Linked DNA regions of Oryctolagus cuniculus. The protein of the gene in region 2 purifies or fractionates together with the protein of the main gene of each other region. This does not show direct contact. Links are inferred from orthologs where the notes say so. Each region holds a gene or a part of one and is shown on either strand. Other genes may lie near its edges.

The links. The genes of interacting proteins can lie anywhere in the genome.
Region 1: the proteins of LRRC59 (region 2) and Y-box-binding protein 1 purify together in Homo sapiens (co-immunoprecipitation; 3 studies listed by BioGRID and IntAct, with this or other methods). This does not show direct contact. The link is inferred for Oryctolagus cuniculus from reciprocal best matches to the Homo sapiens genes LRRC59 and YBX1.
Region 3: the proteins of LRRC59 (region 2) and STAU1 purify together in Homo sapiens (affinity purification with mass spectrometry; 3 studies listed by BioGRID). This does not show direct contact. The link is inferred for Oryctolagus cuniculus from reciprocal best matches to the Homo sapiens genes LRRC59 and STAU1.

What each region holds. Positions count from the first base shown.
Region 1 is NC_091434.1:59,357,002-59,360,302, reverse strand, and holds Y-box-binding protein 1, read left to right. Parts: upstream 1-1,249; 5' UTR 1,250-1,264; coding exon 1,265-2,278; 3' UTR 2,279-2,800; downstream 2,801-3,301. UniProt on the Homo sapiens protein: DNA- and RNA-binding protein involved in various processes, such as translational repression, RNA stabilization, mRNA splicing, DNA repair and transcription regulation.
Region 2 is NC_091448.1:26,317,158-26,321,401, reverse strand, and holds the start of LRRC59 (leucine-rich repeat-containing protein 59), read left to right. Parts: upstream 1-1,443; 5' UTR 1,444-1,703; coding exon 1,704-1,808; intron 1,809-3,376; coding exon 3,377-3,436; intron 3,437-4,244.
Region 3 is NC_091442.1:11,270,593-11,274,874, reverse strand, and holds the start of STAU1 (double-stranded RNA-binding protein Staufen homolog 1), read right to left. Parts: upstream 2,802-4,282; 5' UTR 2,541-2,801; intron 1-2,540. UniProt on the Homo sapiens protein: Binds double-stranded RNA (regardless of the sequence) and tubulin.

The sequences.
Region 1 (3,301 bases), on a different chromosome or scaffold from region 2:
GCCGGGATGCCGCAGGGATAAGAGAAATAGAAGTATAGAAGTAAAATGAGAGAAATAGGAATGCTGGCAGATAGAAGTAAAATAGGAGAAATAGGAATGCCTGGAGATAGAGAAATAGAAAGGCCTCCCCACAACACGGCAATGAGAGAGCTTGGATTCGGTCTGCCTGATTAGTAAGACGATAAGCACCTGTGAGCGGCTGCATGTCACCGAAGACAGGCACGTTATCAACACCAATAAGTCTCCCCACAAGACGGCGATGATAGGGCTTGGATTCGGTTTGCCTGATTGGTAGGGCTTGTAAGCACCTGCAGGCAGTTCTAGCAGAGCAGAGCATGCGCTGCAGGGCACCGAACACAGGCACGCATCAGCGCCTAAAAACCTCACAACATGGCGAAGAGAGGACCCGGATTCGGTTTGCCTGATTGATAGGACTTGTAAGAACCTGTGGGCAACTCCAGCAAGCAGAGCAGAGTGTGTGCCACGGGGCACCGAAGACAGGCGCGTATCAACGCCAAAAAATAAAAAGAAAGGGGGATCTGTGGGGAGCAACTCAGACTAGACTGTTACTGGAATTAAGACTTATTCTATGCATCTGCTCTCCCACAATATGGCGCTGGGAGAGGAGTAAACAGCTTCTACTCAGCTGCCTCCAGTTCAACCAATAAACAGCAGGACCTGCTCCTGATTGGAGGAGAGCAGCATACTCGGCGTGTGGGTAGCAGAGTTGGGATTGGTGGAAGAGGACTATAAAGGAGGAGAGAGACAACATGCACCAGGAACATCTAAGAGGAACACCTGTGCAGCCCCCGAGAGAGCCGGCTGGCGGTGTGCTGCTCCCCCGCGGAAGTGGGGAAAGTGGCAGGGGGAACCGCCCTTCCACGGAGGTGGGAGGGACGGTAGCCAACCTGGGAAGAACCAGCAGCAAACCCGGGGAGGGCCGAGCAGACAAAAGAACAGCGCAGGGTCTAGTGTCGTTCCTCCACGAAGACGGGGAGCGACATAATGGTGCCGTGACTCGGATATGAAGCCTAGGCAGGGTTTAGTGTCGTTCCTCCATGAAGAGGGGGAGCGACAGTAGGCTGAAACAGTAGTAGATTATTTAGAAATAGAATTAATGTTGTGTAGGATTATTAATAATGCTGATATTTTGATACTTAAAATGGAAGAGCACTAAAGATAAATCATTGTATGAGGCAACCTCAAAGTTCATGGAAAGTGGAATTTAAAGAGAAGTATCTGGGTACAAACATGTTTGAAATGCATGTTTTTAAAAATAATACACATAGTTCGATCGGTAGCGGGAGCGGAGAGCGGACCCCAGAGAGCCCTGAGCAGCCCCACCGCCACCGCCGGCCTAGTTACCATCACACCCCGGGAGGAGCCTCAGCTGCCGCAGCCGGCCCCAGTCACCATCACCGCAACTATGAGCAGCGAGGCCGAGACCCAGCAGCCGCCCGCCGCCCCCGCCCTCAGCGCCGTGGAAACCAAGCCCGGCACCACGGGCAGCGGCGCAGGGAGCGGTGGCCTGGGCAGCCTCACATTGGCGGCGCCCGCCGGCGGGGACAAGAAGGTCATCGCAACGAAGGTTTTGGGAACAGTAAAATGGTTCAATGTAAGAAACGGATATGGTTTCATCAACAGGAATGACACCAAGGAAGATGTATTTGTACACCAGACTGCCATAAAGAAGAATAACCCCAGGAAGTACCTTCGCAGTGTAGGAGATGGAGAGACTGTGGAGTTTGATGTTGTTGAAGGAGAAAAGGGTGCGGAGGCAGCAAATGTTACAGGTCCTGGTGGAGTTCCAGTGCAAGGCAGTAAATATGCAGCAGACCGTAACCATTATAGACGCTACCCATGTCGTAGGGGTCCTCCACGCAATTACCAGCAGAATTACCAGAATAGTGAGAGTGGGGAAAAGAATGAGGGATCGGAGAGCGCTCCCGAAGGCCAGGCCCAACAACGCCGGCCCTACCGCAGGCGAAGGTTCCCACCTTACTACATGCGGAGACCCTATGGGCGTCGACCACAGTATTCCAACCCTCCTGTGCAGGGAGAAGTGATGGAAGGTGCTGACAACCAGGGTGCAGGAGAACAAGGTAGACCAGTGAGACAGAATATGTATCGGGGTTATAGACCACGATTCCGCAGAGGTCCTCCTCGCCAAAGACAGCCTAGAGAGGACGGCAATGAAGAAGACAAGGAAAACCAAGGAGATGAGACCCAGGGTCAGCAGCCACCTCAGCGTTGGTACCGCCGCAACTTCAACTACTGACGCAGACGCCCAGATAACCCTAAACCACAAGATGGCAAAGAGACAAAAGCAGCCGATCCACCAGCTGAGAATTCGTCCGCTCCCGAGGCTGAGCAGGGCGGGGCTGAGTAAATGCCGGCTTAACATCTCTACCATCATCCGGTTTAGTCATCCAACAAGAAGAAATGAATATGAAATTCCAGCAATAAGAAATGAACAAAAGATTGGAGCTGAAGACCTTAAGTGCTTGCTTTTTGCCCATTGACCAGATTACTAGAACTATCTGCATTATCTATGCAGCATGGGGTTTTTATTATTTTTACCTAAAGATGTCTCTTTTTGGTAACGACAAACGTGTTTTTTAAAAAAGCCTGGTTTTTCTCAATACACCTTTAAAGGTTTTTAAATTGTTTCATATCTGGTCAAGTTGAGATTTTTAAGAACTTCATTTTTAATTTGTAATAAAAGTTTACAACTTGATTTTTTCAAAAAAGTCAACAAACTGCAAGCACCTGCTAATAAAGGTCTTAAATAAAAAAAAAATAATACACATTATCCATGAACTTTTTGAAGATCCTTTGTACAGAAGCACAGGGTGGTAGTTGAGGGTATGAGTTTGAACCCTTCCTCCCACTCTTGGTAGTGTGATGTTTGTGTCCTTGTTTCAGATTCCCCATTTGTAAAGTTGGAATGATGATAATACATATTTCATTGTGATGTCATGTGTAAGAATTGTGAATAGTAAGTGTATCATAATTATTAGGGATTAAAGAGTAACTTTTCCTCTAAGTTATGCTTGCTAATATGTCAGTTGGGCTATATTTTTCTGCTGCAGTTATTAAAAGGACTTGTGTAGAGCTTTTGTAGGATTTTGAAGAAGGAATAAAGATCCCTCGCAGAGACCTTGAACCTAGAATCAAGCTCACAGTGACCCGGTTTTTGTAGAGTTCTGAGGTCCACTAGTGAGTCAGGATCAACCTAGATTTATGAAATTGCAGCCATGGAGTGTGACACTACTCCCTAAGAACATTTATCTCTGTGTTG
Region 2 (4,244 bases):
TTGCCTGTTACTCTGATGTCAATACACACACACACACACACACCCCACTCACACACACTGCCCTATGCATTCGAATGCAGGTTTTTATCTGTGTGAGGGCACAGATCCTCCTACGTGGTATATAATAATTATTTGCATGGCCTGTAGGGTCCTTCGGGGTAGCAATAACAAAGCGTAGTGAGCAGAAAGAGGACCTGGAATCAAGGGACTTGTGCTCAACCAGCTGTGTGGTGGAGGACAAGTTACTCTGCCTCGCTGGGCCTTGGTTTCTTCCTCCATAAGAGGAGCATTACAATAAAATGTGCCTCGCAGTCTCCTGTTTGTCATCAAAGCAAATTAACGGGTGCCAAAGGACATAGGGATTGCCAAAAGCTAACGTCTCATCATCCACGTGTCCTTGCCTGTCTCCCAGAAGCCCGGCACAGTGCGGAGGCTGGGACCGTGGGTCCTGGTCCAAGGACTGGAGTACTGCCCGACTTCACTGGGTCTTCAAGGCTCCCCTCTGGGACAATAGCCCGTTTCAAGATGAGCAAGCTGAGGTTTGCTGCCTCATTCATTCCTCCCAAAGACATCCGAATGGGCAAATCTCACGCCGGGGCTCAGACTCTGGGGATACAAAGGTGAGTAAGGCACAATCCCCGCCCTCACATTCGGATCCACCAAGAAAAGTGTAACATGAGGCAGACGGCAAATTCTGGATGATGATTAGAGTGCTTCCTGGTTCCTGCCTTAATCTCTTCCCGTGTTTCACTCACTCGACCGCCCACGCGCAACAGCTGGCTAACATTTTAATTCATATTTTTCAGGGACCCACTGATAAGACCAAGGCAGGGCAACAGCAGAGCCAGGAGGCACACCCAGCGTGCCGGGGGCGGGGGTCCCACTTAACCCAAAAGTGCAGACGGCGCTGTGCCAGAGCCCCTGGAGGGCTCCGAACTTAGCCCGGTGTTCAGGGTGGTCAGGGGAGGCTGCCAGGACTGAGGATTAGCTGGGCAGAGAAGCTGGGTAGAGGGAAAGGTGCGTGGGGCACCTGCCCCGGAAGTCTGATGGGCACCAAGGCCAGGCAGGGGCTGCAGCTTGGGAGGAGGCCGCAGAAGCAGGCAGCACCCAGCCCAGGAAGGAGAACAGATTTTCAGAAGGTGAAGATAGATGGGGAACAAGAGGGAAGAGAAATTCAGGAAGTAGAGTTTTCCGGAAGGCGGTGATTTTGCGTGGTTAAGAAGAGGACAGGGAGCTTTTGCTCCTTATTCAAAGGGGTGGGGTCAGATTTGACGGAGTCAGTTTTAGATGCGAACGCAGATCTTCTGCGTGGAGCCAAGGGGACCAGGGCTTCCCGCAGAGAAGCGGAATTCAAAGAGCTTTGCACCCGATCCCAGTGGCGGCGGCGGCGGCGGCACTACACGCCCCTGGACACCAGAGGGCGCACTCGTACAACCTCGAGCCGCTCTGGCCCGGCGCGTCTCGGTGGCCGCGGAAGGTGACGTGGACACGGAAGTGGTCGTCGTCGCGGCGGTACCGGTGGGAGCGGGGCGCGGGGCTCCGAGTGTGGCCGGCGGGCGGACGGGCGGCGGCGGTCTCGCACCGGCGGTGATCGGGGGCGCAGGCGTTGTCGGTTGGCTGCGAGTCCGCCGGACCCTCGAGAGGCTTTTCCTTTTCCCTGCCCGTCGGAAGCCCGGACCCGGGCCCGCTCAGCCGGCGTCATCATGACCAAGGCCGGTAACAAGGGCGGGAATCTCCGCGACAAATTGGACGGCAATGAGCTGGACCTGAGCCTCAGCGACCTGAATGAGGTCCCGGTGAAGGAGCTGGTCAGTACAGCCCCGCTAGGCGCAGGCGCCCCCTTCGCCTGGCAGTGGCCCCCGCGCGGGCCGCCTTCTGTCCCGTGCCTCGGTTTCCCCGTCTTTAAAGCCATGGGGAGGCGGGGGGCGGGGGGCTGAGCCCCCGGGGCGGCCACGTCCGGCTGCAGTGTTCTTCCTGGGATGTACACGTGTCACTTTGGCGCGGCTCCAGAAGATGGGGGAGACCGTCTCTTCTGGCCTTGGGCTCTTCACCAGCCAAGAATGAGTGATGGGGTGGGGGGGTGGGGACTTTCATAGCCCCAGCCGGTGCCCGACCCCAAGCCGAAGCCCACCGAGCGGTTGCTGGCTGTATTGGAAAATGAATGAATGAGTCGGTGTGGGAAAATAGGCCTCCCGGCAGACCTGGGTGTGGCTCGGGACCTGGCAGCCTAGCTGGCTGTCCCAGCCCTCGGGCGACTAGAAACGTGAAGTCTCCCCGGCCAGGCTGGCAAGGTCTCATCCCAACTCCGCCGAAACTGGCGGGAAACCCCCCTCCCCCCACTCTTCCTCCTTTCTTACCCCACAAATTGAAGCCTGCCGTCCTGGGGCGATTACTACCTACTTCGCTGCCTACGTGGGTCTGGAGCCTCGGCCCCAGCCGCCCCCACCGGGAGTGCTAGCTTCCTACACCTTCCTTACTGCGAGTGATGGACGACCCTTGCCTTTAGCAAGGCCCAGTCTTCACCTCACCAGGGCGCTATGTAGTGTGGGGCTTAGCATGGGGTTCCAGCTCACATGGCAGCTTCATCGCTTGCTGGCTGAGTGCCCTTGGCGGCTGGGTAACTCTTGGGCCTAGATCTCCTCACTTATGAAATGGTGATCATCTCTCATTTGCTGGTTGTGACAGTTAAAAGTGCCTGGAAGGTGGCAGGCGCTGACAGATGGACTGTTACCGTGGTTCTTCCCACTGTAGCGGCCAACACTGTCTCGTTTCACCTTCTGACACTTGGAAAGGCAGGTCGGCCGTGGGTCCTTAGTGGCCAGCCTTGTTCCAGACTGGCCCCGGGACTGCTATGGGAAACTGATTTGTCTGGTCAGTGCATCACGGTCTCCTGGGGCGAAAGAAGGGTCAGGTGCGCGGGGCCTCTTCCACCCCAGACACCGTGGGAACATGGAGATGGGCCGTGAGGGCCCCGTTTGCACGCCGGCTCCCGTGTCCTCGTGCACTCTCGGTTGAGCGCCTGCTTCCCGGGAGGGCCCTGAAGTGGGAAGTACGAAAATTGCAGCGCTTTCTGAGACTCGGTCCCTGCCCGCAGCCTCACAAGAGGGGCGCTTGAGAGTTTCGGTGCCGTAGAGAATTCTGAGCACCCAGGTTTTCCTTTCTCTGCTGTTCTGTGGCCAAACCCCTCTTTTTGTTCTGCCTTAGAACTGGCTCAGTTTTTCCTCTCTTATCCCCAGCAACACTGTTCTTCGGTGCCATTAAAAAAAAAAATCCTTTCCTAGTCGTGGGAACTTTCCTGGGAAAATGCTTCACTTGCAGGTGTCCCTGAGCCGTGGCAGGTGCCGACTTGACGTGTTTTTCTCATCTCCTTTCCTAGGCTGCCCTTCCAAAGGCCACCGTCCTGGATCTGTCCTGCAATAAACTCAGTACCCTGCCGGTAAGTGTGGCAAGTGACTCGGCCGGCCCGAGTTCTGGGTGCATCGCCTTCCTGCTGCATACGGGGTTGTGGGGGGATTCATAAGACATAGTTCCAGTATAGGTCTTGCAGGAAGGCGACAGCTGAATCTGAGTGTGTGTTGGGGTGTGCATTTGGGAGGTTGGTTTCCACTGGAAGAGACTTGAGGCCTCATTCTTTAGAACAGTGGAAAAGTCAGGGCACAGAGAACTAAAGGCAACAGGAGGCTGGCTGAATCACTGGACTCATCTTTTTTTTTTTAAGATTTTTTTTTTAAAGATTTATTTATTTATTTGAAAGTCAGAGTTACACAGAGAGAAGGAGAGGCACAGAGAGAGAGAGAGAGAGGTCTTCCATCTAATAGGTCACTCCCCAGTTGGCCACAATGGCCAGAGCTGCGCGATCAGGAGCCAGGAGCTTCTTCCGAGTCTCCCACGTGGGTGCAGGGGCCCAAGGACTTGGGCCATCTTGTACTGCTTTCCCAGGCCATAGCAGAGAGCTGGATTGGAAGTAGAGCAGCTAGGTCTTGAACTGGCGCCCATATGGGATGCTTGTGCTTCAGGCCAGGGCACTAACCCACTGTGCCACAGCACCTGCCCCAAGATTTATTTTATTTAAAAGAGTTAGATTTCGGCTGGCGCCGCAGATCAACAGGCTAATCCTCCACCTTGCGGCACTGGCACACCGGGTTCTAGTCCCGGTTGGGGCACCGGATTCTGTCCCAGTTGCCCCTCTTCCAGGCCAGCTCTCTGCTATGGCCAGAGAGTGCAGTGGAGGATGGCCCAAGTGC
Region 3 (4,282 bases), on a different chromosome or scaffold from region 2:
CACAACCAGCTAAAGAAACTTTGGGAAGCTTCATGGTGCATTACTGTGGTTTAACTTTGACACAAAGCTCCTGCCTATTTAAAGGGGCCTAGCAGGTAGGTCTCCACCAACAAAGGGATAGGAAATCTGTCTTTCTGATGGCTCTTCAATTAGTCTTTCATGGCTCAAGAGTTACTTTTGCACACAGAGAAGCAAGGCCACATTTGGGATTTGACTTTGAGAGCGGGACAGCACTGATCAAAACTAGCTCAGCTGCTAGTCTTTTCCCCACTGCACAGTAACCAAGTAATCTGTTCAGAGATGAGAAGCCAAGCAAACAAAATGACAACTGATTCTTTTAAAAGCACATTTTAGGAGCATTCTGGTAAAAGTCAAAATCTCTAACACTGTGATACGATGTTTAAGATTTGCTTCAAAACAATACAGTTTGGGGGAGGAGGTACAAGACTGCTCTTAACTGTAAGTTAATCATTGTCAGAGCTGGGGCTCTCACACTGGAGCCGGGGTTGCCTGCCCCTCGGCCGAGGGCCAAGGAGGCAGCACATGATGGAGCACGCAGTCCCCGACACCCACGTGGCAGCCTGGCCCAGGCCCAGCTGTGCGTGCGGCACCTGCGGAGTGAACCAGCGGATGGAAGCTATTTTTTTAAAAAAAACTGCCGAAGTTGAGCGACAAACACAATACCTAAGTCGTCTAGTCAATTTTCATGTATTTTCCACAGTGAAAAGTTTAAAAACAGCTTTATGTTACCCACTGCAATATTAAAACTTCCCTAGCACAACTTACCACAAGGTAGCAGAAAACATGCTTTTTACTGTTTGCAGAGTTGTCTGTTTAGCTGTTTTTAAAACGTCAAATTTTAAATCAGAAGCAATGTGACACTGTGTCAGAAAATTCTAGAAAAACCTAACAAGGAAGCCACTTTGCATTGAGAGATGTAAATCAAAACATTTTCATTTCTCTAAGGAAACGGACTAAGACAAGCCGAGGTCTAGGCGGACGTCTGCGGCGCGCACACTCCGTTTTCTCTGTCCTAACTCGAAGCTGAGCACCTCGGCGGCCGCAGCTCCCCAAGGACCGGCACAGCCGCACCACGCAGCCCAGCATTAGCAGAACTCGGTGCGCCCGTCCCCAGACGGCCAAACCGCTGCCTCCACACCCCGGCTGTATTTTTAGTTTCTGCTTCAACAAGTAGCAACGTAAGCAGAGGTCCCTTCCTGCAAAACCGTACTTCGACTCCGTCCGCCCGCTTCTAAACAAAAACACGCGCAGCACGGCAGCGCGACCCCAAAGCCCTCCGCACGGCCAGAGAACAGGGGCAGGCGGCTGGGACGCGCATCTGCGCGCGAACAGCCGAGAGCCTGCACCCACGCCGACGCGGCAAGGCAGGGGCACGGCCCCGACCCCGAGGACAGGCACGCTCGCCCAGCGCCGTCCGTCCACCGCCCTCGGCCCCGAGGACAGGCACGCTCGCCCAGCGCCGTCTGTCCACCGCCCGCGGCCCCGGCCCCGAGGACAGGCACGCTCGCCCAGCGCCGTCCGTCCACCGCCCCCGGCCCCGGCCCGAGGACAGGCACGCTCGCCCAGCGCCGTCCGTCCACCGCCCCCGGCCCCGACCCCGGCCCGAGGACAGGCACGCTCGCCCAGCGCCGTCCGTCCACCGCCCCCGGCCCCGGCCCGAGGACAGGCACGCTCGCCCAGCGCCGTCCGTCCACCGCCCCCGGCCCCGGCCCCGGCCCGAGGACAAGCACGTCGCCCGGCGCAGGGGCAGCGGCTGCCAGCAACTTTCCTAGAGGCGGGACGACCACGGGGAAGGCGGACCCGCGGCTGGCGCGCAGGGGGTCCGGCCCGGGCTCGCCCCCTTCCAGCCCTGAGCCCAAAACAATGCCCCCGGCGCCGGCGGGGGCCACGCCGAACACCGCTGCCTCCCCCACTCGCGCACGGGCAGCGAGGCAGCTAGGTAGGTCAACTTCTGTCCACTCGCCCCACTAAATTACACCTTCCTATCACGCCAATCAATCATGCAGGCGGTTTATTGGGGACACGCTGTGGGTCTGGCGCTCCGATAAGCGCTTCACACGCCCCATTTCCCCGAACCTCCGCAGCCAGAAAGCGGCAGGACGGTCTCGGCGCCCCTCTCCCCAGCCCACACAAAGAGTTGAAGGGGCCGCGCCGGGGCCGGACACCTGGGCCGTGCCCGCCGCACGACGCGGACGCTCCGGACCCCGAGGGCTGGAGAGGGGACACCACCAGCCCGGCAGGAACTTCGCTGTCCCCGCGCGCCCGCCCAGCGCAGGGCGCCAGGCACCTGTTCCCGGCCCCGGCGAGAAAGCGGCGGCGGGGCTGGGGGCGCCGGAGGACCCGCCTCTCCCCCACCCCGGGCAGGCCCCGCGGGCGGGACGCAGGCCCGGGCCGGGGGGAGGAGGCCGGCGCGCGGCCCGCCGAGGCCTAGGCCCCACCCGCCGCCCGCCGCCCGCCGCCCCCCGCCCCGTGGCCGCCGCGCCCGCGCGGGCCCCGCCGCGCTCGGCCGGCCGCCTCACCTGGCTGCTGCCCTCAGCTCGCCCCTCGGCCGGCGGTCCTGGGCGGCGGCGGCGGCAGTGGTGGCGGCGACGAGGGGAAGGAGGAAGGAAGAGGGAGAGGAGGAAGGGACGGCGGGTGGGAAGAGGCGGAGTGGCTGCGGAGGAGGCGGGCGCCGCCGCCGGGCCGGGGGGTCCAAGAAGCGGGGAAGCCGAGAGAAGAAGCGACGGCGGCCGGCGCAAACGCTGAGGAGCCGCTCCGGCGCCCGCAGCCCGGCAGGAAGTGACGGGGGAGGGGCCGGCGCCCGCCCCCGGCCCCCGCCCGCCTCCAGGCCCGGCCCCACCCCCACCCGCGGCCCAAACCACAAGTCCCGGCGGGCGCTGCGGCGGGGCCGGCGCCCGCAAGGCACACCGGGAGCCGGCAGGCGGGGCCTGGTCGCGGCGAGGTGGCCGCCGCCCGCCCTGGGCCAGCGGCCTGCTGGGAGTTGTAGTTCTGCCGGGCCCCGAGCGGGAAGGCGGAGCGCGTGCCTTCTGGCCTCCCGCACTTCCTTCTTCCTTCTCTCAGTCCGTCCTCTCGTCTCGCAGGTGTCGTTCCCTTCGCTCCCGCCCTCAGGGCCTCCTTCCTCCGCCATGTGCGAGGCGCTGCCCCGAGAGCTAAGAACGGAACGGACAAACGCCCGTGCCCTCATGGAGCTTACGTTCCAGTGCGGATAAAAGGCGCGAATAAAATCATTAACTTGCTAGGTGCACTGAAAGGCAAGATAGGGGCCGGCGCCGAGGGGAGCGGTCAGGCACCTGCGATGGCAGACTCTCTCCTTCAAATAAATAAAGCTTAAAAAAACAAACGAAAAGATGATGTGGCTGTGCGCGTTAGGACCCCAGGGCTCCGCCTATCACTTCCAGGCCGACTTTCTTCTGTTTCCGTACACTGACAGCAAGTGCCCACTCTAACAGAAACAGCAGTGTAATTTTAGATGAGAGCCAACTTTTCACGGGGACTTTATGCGCTCTGCCCATTCCTATATAACTTATCTTGCGGGAAGGAGCAGGCAGAATTTGGAGTAACATCTCCAGTGCTCAGTTTCTTATTTCCATCTTCATCCTGAAACAAAGAAAAATAATTCCTTAATTACTTGGCAACAGCCCAGAAGACTTGAGGCCTTTGGGAAAAAAGATGTGACTGCCAGTCCCTAAGTACAAAAAGAAAAACACGTCTAAGGCTCCCCTCCCACACCCAGCAGCCCCACGACGAACCTGTGCCTTGGTTAACACAGTGGTCCTCAAATGAGCGCTGTGGAGTGACTGTTCGCGCTGTTTTCCTCTTCTTCCTCTCTGTCTTTGGTTTTGTTAGTTTTTAACGGCTGAACAATTTCAACACATAGTAACCTGGCTTTGTGACCTCTCTCCAAAAATGAGGTGGCCAGGCAGCATCGGAGAGCAACAGTCCAGCCACACTTGGGCTCCCACAGCCCACATCAGGGGGCCTGGGTTCGAGTCAGCTCTGCTCCTGCTCTACCTCCCAGCTAACGCACCGCGGGTCATAGCTCCAGCACCTGCGTCTTTACCACCCAGCTGGGAAACCCAGGTGGACTTCCTGGTTCCCGGCTTCAGCCTGGCTGTTGTGGGCATTTGTGGAGTAAACCAGCAAAAGAAGAATCTCTCTCTCCCTCTCCCTCTCTCTCTCTCTCTCTCTCTCTTTCTCTCTCTCTCTTCCTCGATAAAATGAAAACAAAAACATTTTTAAATTTTGGGGGATGCAGCTAACA